Saccharomyces cerevisiae S288C: one gene and its partners. The protein of the gene in region 3 purifies or fractionates together with the protein of the main gene of each other region. This does not show direct contact. Each region holds a gene or a part of one and is shown on either strand. Other genes may lie near its edges.

The links.
Region 1: the proteins of TIM23 (region 3) and COR1 purify together in Saccharomyces cerevisiae (affinity purification with western blotting; 6 studies listed by BioGRID, with this or other methods). This does not show direct contact.
Region 2: the proteins of TIM23 (region 3) and RIP1 purify together in Saccharomyces cerevisiae (affinity purification with western blotting; 3 studies listed by BioGRID, with this or other methods). This does not show direct contact.

What each region holds. Positions count from the first base shown.
Region 1 is NC_001134.8:133,787-137,547, forward strand, and holds COR1 (ubiquinol--cytochrome-c reductase subunit COR1), read right to left. Parts: upstream 1,731-3,761; coding exon 357-1,730; downstream 1-356. Other genes in the region: YBL044W (uncharacterized protein), read left to right, coding at 2,212-2,580; ECM13 (Ecm13p), read left to right, coding at 2,902-3,675. UniProt on the Saccharomyces cerevisiae protein: Component of the ubiquinol-cytochrome c oxidoreductase, a multisubunit transmembrane complex that is part of the mitochondrial electron transport chain which drives oxidative phosphorylation.
Region 2 is NC_001137.3:105,527-108,444, forward strand, and holds RIP1 (ubiquinol--cytochrome-c reductase catalytic subunit RIP1), read left to right. Parts: upstream 1-1,733; coding exon 1,734-2,381; downstream 2,382-2,918. Other genes in the region: YEL025C (uncharacterized protein), read right to left, coding at 1-621. UniProt on the Saccharomyces cerevisiae protein: Component of the ubiquinol-cytochrome c oxidoreductase, a multisubunit transmembrane complex that is part of the mitochondrial electron transport chain which drives oxidative phosphorylation.
Region 3 is NC_001146.8:661,119-664,090, forward strand, and holds TIM23 (protein transporter TIM23), read left to right. Parts: upstream 1-1,794; coding exon 1,795-2,463; downstream 2,464-2,972. Other genes in the region: acetyl-CoA carboxylase ACC1, read right to left, coding at 1-256. UniProt on the Saccharomyces cerevisiae protein: Essential component of the TIM23 complex, a complex that mediates the translocation of transit peptide-containing proteins across the mitochondrial inner membrane.

The DNA of each region.
Region 1 (3,761 bases), on a different chromosome or scaffold from region 3:
CATAATATCATTAAATATGTTTTACCAAAAAAAAGTTCATCTTTCTTATTTTTAAAATCGATAGTTCTTCAGGATCTTGGTCACATATATATATATATATATATATACACTTATATAAAATAAGACGTTTATTTAATCTTGTTTTCTTACGAGTTTCTTTTTTTTTCTTTTTTTATTTTCTACTTTTGCAAGGAACAGTGACCTTGCCAATAAATAATGAAGACTACTTGGGTTACTAGAATATAAAATACATGTAAAAAATTCATTTATGGTGTGAGTGTGCGAGCGTGCCTGTATACATCTAGCAGCTTGCTTATTTCTATTTTATGTGCATGGAAAATATATTATCACACATCTTACCATCTCATCATGGACATGTCACTTCTGATTCTCATGTAATCTAATAACCCTTCAATTTGGCCTGTACCAGCAATAGCAATATCTTGGTCCCATAATCTCTTACCGGCCCAAGCCTTAACATCTTTGACTGTGATTGCATCAATTTTCTTGAAAGCCTCACCCAGAGACAGTTTGGAGCCCTTGATTAGGACTTCTGCGCCTAACAAGTTAGCGTCATTGACGGGATTACCAGATTCGTATAACTGCCCTAATTGTAATTTCAACAGCGATTTGGCACGTTCAACTTCAGTATCAGTGACAGAAATGGTCAATCTGTTCCATTGTTTCAAAGTGAAATGGATGAGGTCGTCAATCATGGTAACGTTTCTCGTGGCCGTAGAGAACCCCCATAAACCGGAATCTTTGTAAGAAAGAGAGAAATGATTGAAATTGTCGCATAATTGGTACTCCTGTATGTTGTCTAACAATTTGATACCTTGTAATCTAGAAGCGGGTTCGAAGGCGTTGTATGAGCCGAAAATTTGGGCGGCTAATTTAGCAACAAAATAATTTGGTGAATTGACAGGTTCACCTTCCACAGCCAGCGAAATCCACGCCTTTGGCAAGGTGTCGTCTCTCAATCTAACTTCGGAACCCAAGAAAGCGGCCTTTTTCTTGAGTACGGGCTTGGTACCGGTTTGCAAACTTAGGTTTTTGGATTCGATGGAATTTACTAAATCCTCATGTTTGATATTACCGGTACCAACAACAACAGCATTTGAATTCAAGAAATGGTTATTGGCAAAAGATTCCAGATCAGCAACAACTAAATTCTCCAAGGACTCCAAAGTACCTCTAGTAGGCAAAGATAATGGAGTGTTTTGGAAGGCGGTGGAGTGTAAATGTTCCAAAACTCTGTTGGGATGGTCGTTTTCTTCAAAATCTTGAACTTGCTTCAAGACAGATTTCTTCGTGGCCTCGAAGTTAGAAGAAGATAGCAAATTAGCCTTTTGTTGGATGAAAGACTGATTCAAGAAGTCTAGTGATTTATCGGTAGAACCTGGCAAAGAAGATACAATGTAAGATTGGAAGTCTCTGGAGATATTGGAAGACAATGCCAAACCTTCCTTGGCGGCAACAGCAGAGTTTTCTTTGGATAGAAAGATGTTCTTCCATAAATTGGAAACCCCGTTGTTATAAGGGTTTTCGTTGGCAGCACCGGAGCCGAAGACAACACCGACAGAGGCTGTGTGAGCGGAAGGATTATGCTCAGTGGCTACAACTATACCGTTAGATAATTGCGTTACTTCGGCCTTGGGGGTTGCTACAGCTGTAGCCAAAGACCTCTTGAACTGGTTAGATACAGTCTTTGAAGTTACTGTTCTTAGCATTTTTTTTGTTTATATATCTTGTGTTTTCTTTCTCAGTGATATGGTGACGATGATGTTCTTCTCGTATTATTACTCCACAATTGTCTTGATCAGCAATGGTAGCAATTTAATATTAGGATTCGTTACCTATACGAACAGGGATGATATAATATTTTTTCTGTGAAAGCTATTGCTTTATTATACGCTGTTTTCCTCGAATAAGACGGGGAAAGAGAGTAGGGGAATATCGGTTAGGGAGCGCTGTAGGCCTTTAATTTTCTTGTTTGGTTTTTATTTGGTGCAGCTGACAGCGCGGGCCCTTGAACTTCTGGAGGACAAAAAACACTGTTAATTTATTGGCATTTCATTGGTGCAGAAAGCGTGCTGTCCGGGTCACAGTTAAAGTTCATATACATGTTACCCTACCCAGTCCGGGTTATGTAAATCGTGAAAAAGAATATCTGGTTTTAAAATCTCTCTTTTCTTTTTCCCCCTGGTGGGTATGGGTGAAATGCTAGAGAGGCAAAAAAAAAGGTTGCCAAGTAAAGCGAAGTATTTGAAGTATACTGCAAGCATCACCGAAACAGGAAATCACGAAGCTGACTCATCTGTGATTTTCCGTCCCCACCATAGTGATGTAACATGCAGTAACGCACGGCGGGCCGAAAGTCGGACTTTACCCCAGATTTGTAGTTGTATCCTATTGGATCACGGGCGACGGACAAGACCCGAAGTGCGGACCGGCATGGTCAGCTTGCACGGAAGCTTTAAGGGTTTCCCTTGTTTCGGCATTAGAAGAGGCATTTCGCACGTTTTACCGGGTCAGAAACTTCGAGGAAGCTGTGACAATTGGAAAAAAAGGCAAAACTAAATGCAATGTATCCGGTTGCCCATGCATTATTTGTGATGTTTTCGGATGTAGTTCGCTGCGCTCCGCGGCGATATATCCTCTAGCGAGAGGCATATGTATAAATATATATATATATATCTAACAAAAGCATTCAAGTTTCTTTCTCTGGTGTTACGTCTTTGTTCGACTTTCTCTGCTTACAGCCCTGTATGACCAAAGAAAAAATAAAAAGACAGCTACATACCAGCAGAAATTTTTTATAGTATTACACTATACATCCAAGTTTTTTCACAATTATTTATTGTTTTTCTCACATAGAAAATTCCGCATACTGCGATTATAATGAACTCTACAACCCCATCGATTCAAGATCAATATATTTTGGCCAGCAAAGTACGCTCCAAGCTGGCAAAATGCGTTAGCGTGACTACTAAAAACAAAGACTACAACCTGAGAGTTTTAGTCGGGCACGCAAACTTGCTGGATAAGATTACAGAAAATGTGGAAACTCATAATGCTGCAACCAACGCCCTTGCCGGAGACCCTTTCAGTAAAGGACCTGAAAACTTGTCCATCGAACATATCGAATTGTCCAATGCTAATGCTAGTAAAAATGACGTCGGTAAGGAGGAAAATGCAGAAAAGACGATAGAAAGTGAAGATTACTGTGATTTTTACTCTAGTGACGAAGATCCAGATGCTGACACTCTATCTTCTACTGACAGTGAAGACGATGATGATTATGAAGACTATGATTTTGAGTACGATTACTCTGGCGGTGATTATAACAAGAAAATTGACATGTACTTTAGTTTTCACACCGCACCTAATTATCAATATTTGACTCACACAAACTCTCATTCCGAGCAGACGGATGAACTTGCCGAATCAACGCCGCGCTACAATGCTCTTCCCGCCACTGCCTCTACGACAGAGGAAGAACAGGACACTGAAACGCTCGATGCTGTGAGTTTGCATAGTTCAGCGCCAATCTTCCGTGTGCTCTCTCGGCGGGTAAATGGACAAGAAGATGACAGCGAAAACGAGAGTAGTAGCGATGTCGACGATGGTTCCGTACCATTAACGAGATTTCATTCTTGTCCTATCACAGCATAAATTAAAATGAAGGAAATAACACAACTTCGTTTTGCATTATCATATTCACATCTGCATCCTATTTTTTTTTTCTCATTGTTGTTGTA
Region 2 (2,918 bases), on a different chromosome or scaffold from region 3:
AAGAAAATAAACGTGTGATTTACCTGTGCATGTGGCGTCGTCAAGCAAATCCTCCCTGCTAATAAAATCAAAGGAGATAATTTCTTCGCCATCGGTGGCATAAAATCTTTCGACTATTCCTTCTCTGAAGTCAAAGGAGTAAATTGTCGTACATAACGTATGCAAATCACTATCATATGATATGTTTTTATTGCAAGTGTATAAAACACCCTCAAAGGAAGCATTTAACCAGCTGGAAGTTAATAAAGAAATAGTATCCAGTTTCGGAGCCACATTAGAGTCGTAGATAATTTCAAATTTGTTATTTTCGCATTTGAATCCCTTAATGGAACCGTCGTTAAACATTAGCAGGTGACAGAAGGAAGCTGACATGAACATCGGTACAGTTGCGTAGTTAACAACGAACGGTCCATCTAAAGCGAACTCAACCTTCGCTTTCAATTCGTTGGACGTTCCGGTATACAATCCATAGCTAAAACATAAAAAGTAACTTCCTTCGTGATGAAGACAACTTACCAGCTTCTCAGCCTCATCTTTTGATCTATAAGATGTTATGCATAAAGGTAAAAAGGCCGAATTGCTATCCAATTTTTTGCAGTCCGTTTCATCTTGTCTTGCCATTTTACGTGGCAATGGCTAGTGCAATATGCAATGCGCTAACGCTGACATTATAACACAATATATTTTTCTACCCTCCCTTTCGCTGAGTTGCGACCAGAATGTCTGTTTTTCAGTCATGTATTTCTTTCCGCTTTAGGCGTTCAGGCAAGCGCGTTCAGTTGAAAGCAAATAGAACCTATAACGACGAATACGCTTAAAGGAAGTATACAGGAAATAGAAAAAGAAGCGTACTGCATGTACTAAAAACCAAAAAAAACACCACATCGGCTCTCTGGTTGTATCCATACTTTCCCTAAAATTTTGTAACTCAAGAAAATACCTACATAAAACGATAATCAGTGGATTGCACTGATCAAGTCGAAAAACTCCGTACATGCCCGTCTATCCCTGTCTCATCCATATAAACTGAACTAGGTAGAAAAAAATACCTACCCTTTCTTTAACCGCCTGGTATATTAAATACCATTGTCAATTGAGAAGCTAACAGCCATTGTAAGAGTTATGTCCAGTGTCCGACTAAGACAAGGTAACCATACGTTGATAGCTATGAATACCCCAGAGGAAGATTATTCTTTCTCATAAATCCTTTTTATTGGTTTCAAAAATCCACCAATAAGTTCATATAGCTTGGGCGGCTATTCATGCGTAATATAATGTGCATGAAGTACGACCCATCGACTCTTAGAGCAAATGCTTCCTAAATTGAAATAACTAGCCGCCTTTAATTCGAGCCTTCTTGTCATCTTGTGTATTTCATCCTTTCAACTTCTCCTGTTCCACCTTTCACTCTAAGCTTCCCTATCATTTGGCCTCTTTCAGGTTCGTCCATAGCGCATCTTTTTCCTTTTAGACACTCCATAACGGACCAATCAGCGTTTTGCGCCATTTATCGGTCTTGGGTCACGTGCGGCGACGCGGAGGCTCCCTTATAAGGACTGGAAAAAGACCTGCAAGAACTATAGTTGGTTCTTGAATATCAAGTAATATATTACTTCTCTGTCGTAACTTTTTGTTGCTTTCAAGTTCAACGTCTTTTAAAAACCAAGAAATTATTGAACATAAATAATATCACTCTAACACTTATTAGGAAACCGAAAGGAGCAATAACAAACATGTTAGGAATAAGATCATCTGTCAAGACCTGCTTCAAGCCAATGTCTTTAACTTCCAAAAGACTGATTTCTCAATCTTTGCTGGCTAGCAAATCCACGTACAGGACCCCAAATTTTGATGACGTTTTAAAGGAAAATAACGATGCTGATAAAGGCCGTTCTTATGCTTACTTTATGGTCGGTGCTATGGGTCTTTTGTCATCTGCAGGTGCCAAATCAACCGTAGAAACCTTTATTTCATCTATGACCGCTACTGCCGATGTTTTGGCTATGGCTAAAGTTGAAGTTAATTTAGCGGCTATCCCATTGGGTAAAAACGTGGTTGTCAAATGGCAAGGTAAGCCTGTGTTCATTAGACACAGAACTCCTCATGAAATTCAGGAAGCCAACAGTGTGGATATGTCCGCTTTGAAGGACCCACAGACCGATGCTGACAGAGTCAAAGACCCTCAATGGTTAATTATGCTGGGTATTTGTACTCACTTAGGTTGTGTTCCAATTGGTGAAGCCGGTGATTTTGGTGGTTGGTTCTGTCCTTGCCATGGTTCACATTATGATATTTCCGGTAGAATCAGAAAGGGACCTGCCCCCTTAAACTTAGAAATTCCTGCTTATGAATTCGATGGTGATAAGGTCATTGTTGGTTAGGTTTGTTTTTCGTCCTCGAAAACTACATCTTTATTGTCTATTTGTTTCACCCTTATTTTGATTTTTCATTTACTATCCATTATGTTATGAACGGGAACTATACAACTAACCTAAGAATTTTGAAATCACAACAAAAATAATCAACATCACAGTCTCGAAGGGATTACGCTCAAAAAGGAACGAAAATCACTATACTGTATTCCCTGTTGATTTTCCTAAGAATATATTCTTATACAATATGGAGAAAACAAAAGGATAAGAAAAGAAAGGGGAAATAAAGAAGATTTGGACCTATTTATTACTACTTTTTTGTCTCACCATCTTCTTTTTCTATTCATAATATTTGATATTCCTTTATTTATCTGCATGTATTTATAATTAACGAAACTATTTATCTTCCCTCGTCCTGCCTTATCCTTCTTTTCTCCAAATGTTTTACCTAAGATTGGCCTGTATTTGAATATTGATGTCCAGAAGCAGAAGATTTCACATGTTGTATAAAGTATACAAGATTGTAAAAATGATTGAAGTATTTTT
Region 3 (2,972 bases):
ACGTCTCGTATGCCCATTTTCTGACGGATCTAATTTCTTTCACGGCGGCAATACCATTATTTGCTATCAGGATCTTGGATATGACCGTGTGACCACCGTGACTCTTAACAAAGTCCCTTAACGGGGACTCCTCTAGTTTATCTACTGTATTGAGGCCAATGAAATGACCTGGAAGTTCTGTATGTCTTTCTGAGTAGTTTGTAATTTCGTACTCCATCTTCTGTGGAGAAGACTCGAATAAGCTTTCTTCGCTCATGGTAGAAACTTGATTTTTTCTAATTTTCTGCGCTGTTTCGGGAACGGAAAAAAATTAAGCTAGAAGACGAATCGGTTATTATACTATTATATTTGTATAGTATAGTAGCGTGTCGTATCGTATCGTGTCGTATCGTATCGTATCGTTAAAAGAAAATACACGAATAAATAATAATATGTGGAGAAGAAAAAGGGAAGTTTCTTGTCTCTTGCTCTGAATCTGAATTCCAATTCAAGTTCAAATTGTTCTCTAGTTTATTGTCCAAAAATAAGGATGAAGCGGGAGGGAAGGGCAGAGGGAAAAGTTCGTATAGTAGAATGAATAAACTTTTATAAACACATGCACCGATCACTCACAGAGGATAAAAAAATGGCACAACAAATATATATATATAGATGCAAATGGCGATTGCAAATTAGGGAATTGGCTTTGTTGTTTTTTATCTTCAGGTAAACTGTACGAAAGGGATAAAAAGAGTAGAATAAGGAAAGGAAAATTGAAGAGAGCAGAACAATTGTAGAACCGATAACAATTGTGACAGTGATTGTGCTAGGCTATACTGTGCCAGAATACGACTGGGAGTGCTGTTCTTCTTATATATCTTGGCGCTGATTGAGCGTATAGCCTAGTTCACCAAGCAGTAGAGAGAGTGGCAATGAGCGGTTGAATTTCGACTGCGACTTGTTGGCACAACGCGCGCGCGGCCGGGCCATGTGAAGATTTTAACGGGCGCAACGATTCGGTGGGCAGTGGAAATTGTTGGGCGTTGTTCAACAAGATGAAGCATTCCCCTTTGGATAACGTCAACGCATATCGGGCCAACCTACAGGCAATGAGCGAAAGCGACTGAAGCCGAGAGATGTGCCCGGAGTTTGTTGTTCTTGTTCTTGTTCTTGTTCTTGTTCTTCTTGACGGATGATACTAGTCGCAGTCGTGGTGACTCTGGAGGGCGTAACGGCCGTGATGCGGCCTGAGCTCACTGTGACGTCGATGCATGCGCGGGTTCGTTGCGTTCAGGCCTGACGGGCGATTCCCCACCAAGTATAAGTGTCATGATATACGCGGCACCTGAGCAGCACATTAGGTCCCAATTCAACCCAACATATATAATGGTTCTGTATGGGTATTTTAAGTGTGCAAACAAAATGTGAGTTACCCGGCTGTTTGCTAGTCGCTGCGTACGAACTGGCTTGCTAAAGCTGGGTAAAAATAATTTAATCGCAAAAGGAAGAAAAGGAAATCGACGATTCATTGAAAAAAAGAGAAAATACTGAAAAAAAAAAGACACCGACAAAAAAAAGAGAGAAAGGAACCTTTACGTAGAGCAAAAGGGAAACATTTGTTGCGTTTAATTAATAGAAATAATAGGTTATTGCATTCGCCCTCCATTGCAGAAAAAAAAAAAAAAAAGACCATTTTCCTCTTCTACTCTCTTTGCCTGTACATACTACACGTTATAGCGTTAACAAAAGCAGATAGAAAAAAAAAAAATAACCAAGATAATATAGGTATACTTGTTTAACAGATCACACACAATCATGTCGTGGCTTTTTGGAGATAAGACACCTACCGATGATGCGAATGCTGCCGTGGGCGGCCAAGATACAACCAAGCCTAAGGAACTATCGTTGAAGCAGAGTTTAGGTTTCGAGCCAAACATCAATAACATAATATCAGGTCCTGGTGGAATGCATGTCGACACCGCTAGGCTGCATCCTTTGGCTGGTCTAGACAAGGGTGTGGAGTATTTAGATCTGGAAGAAGAACAACTATCCTCGTTAGAAGGCTCACAGGGTCTGATCCCTTCCCGTGGGTGGACCGATGACCTATGTTACGGTACCGGTGCCGTCTACCTGCTGGGACTTGGTATCGGAGGGTTTTCTGGTATGATGCAGGGTCTGCAGAATATTCCGCCCAATAGTCCCGGAAAATTGCAATTGAACACCGTCCTGAATCACATTACTAAGAGAGGTCCCTTCTTAGGTAATAATGCGGGGATTCTCGCGTTGAGCTACAATATCATCAATTCTACAATAGATGCACTAAGAGGCAAACATGACACCGCGGGCTCCATTGGCGCTGGGGCCCTCACGGGCGCTTTGTTCAAGTCTTCAAAAGGTTTGAAACCCATGGGTTATTCCTCGGCAATGGTGGCCGCTGCGTGCGCCGTCTGGTGTAGTGTCAAGAAAAGACTACTTGAAAAATGAGCAACACAAGAACCTACTCTCTCTCTCTCTTTCTCTCTCTCTCTCCCTCTTCGCTTTTCCCCCATGCACTGATGGCGCTTGTATATAGCATTTGAAAAATAATAGTACGTAACGCAGAAAACAAACCAATGAAAGTAGAAACCCGGAGAAAAGATCTAAAAAAACAAAAAAAAAAGATGGAAAGAGCGCATGTATGTGTAGATATGTACATATATACAACTACTTGTATGTTATTTGCCTTTTGTACTGTTAAGCTATTGTTTTCGATGGCCAATTAAAGTAAAACAAACCGCTCACTCTCGGGTATTTCCCGAAACTGTCAGAGCCGTCCCGGCCCACCGATTCGCCCGGCAAGACCTGCTTGGAAGCAGCACAAAGCCCTGCGGCCTCTGTACACCTCACGCTAAATAGCTGCTAACGATCAACACCTGACCGAGATAACAGCAGCAAAGAACCCGCAAAAAACTGCGCCGTCTAGGCCTCAACCCTTGCTTCCTACAACCAAACAA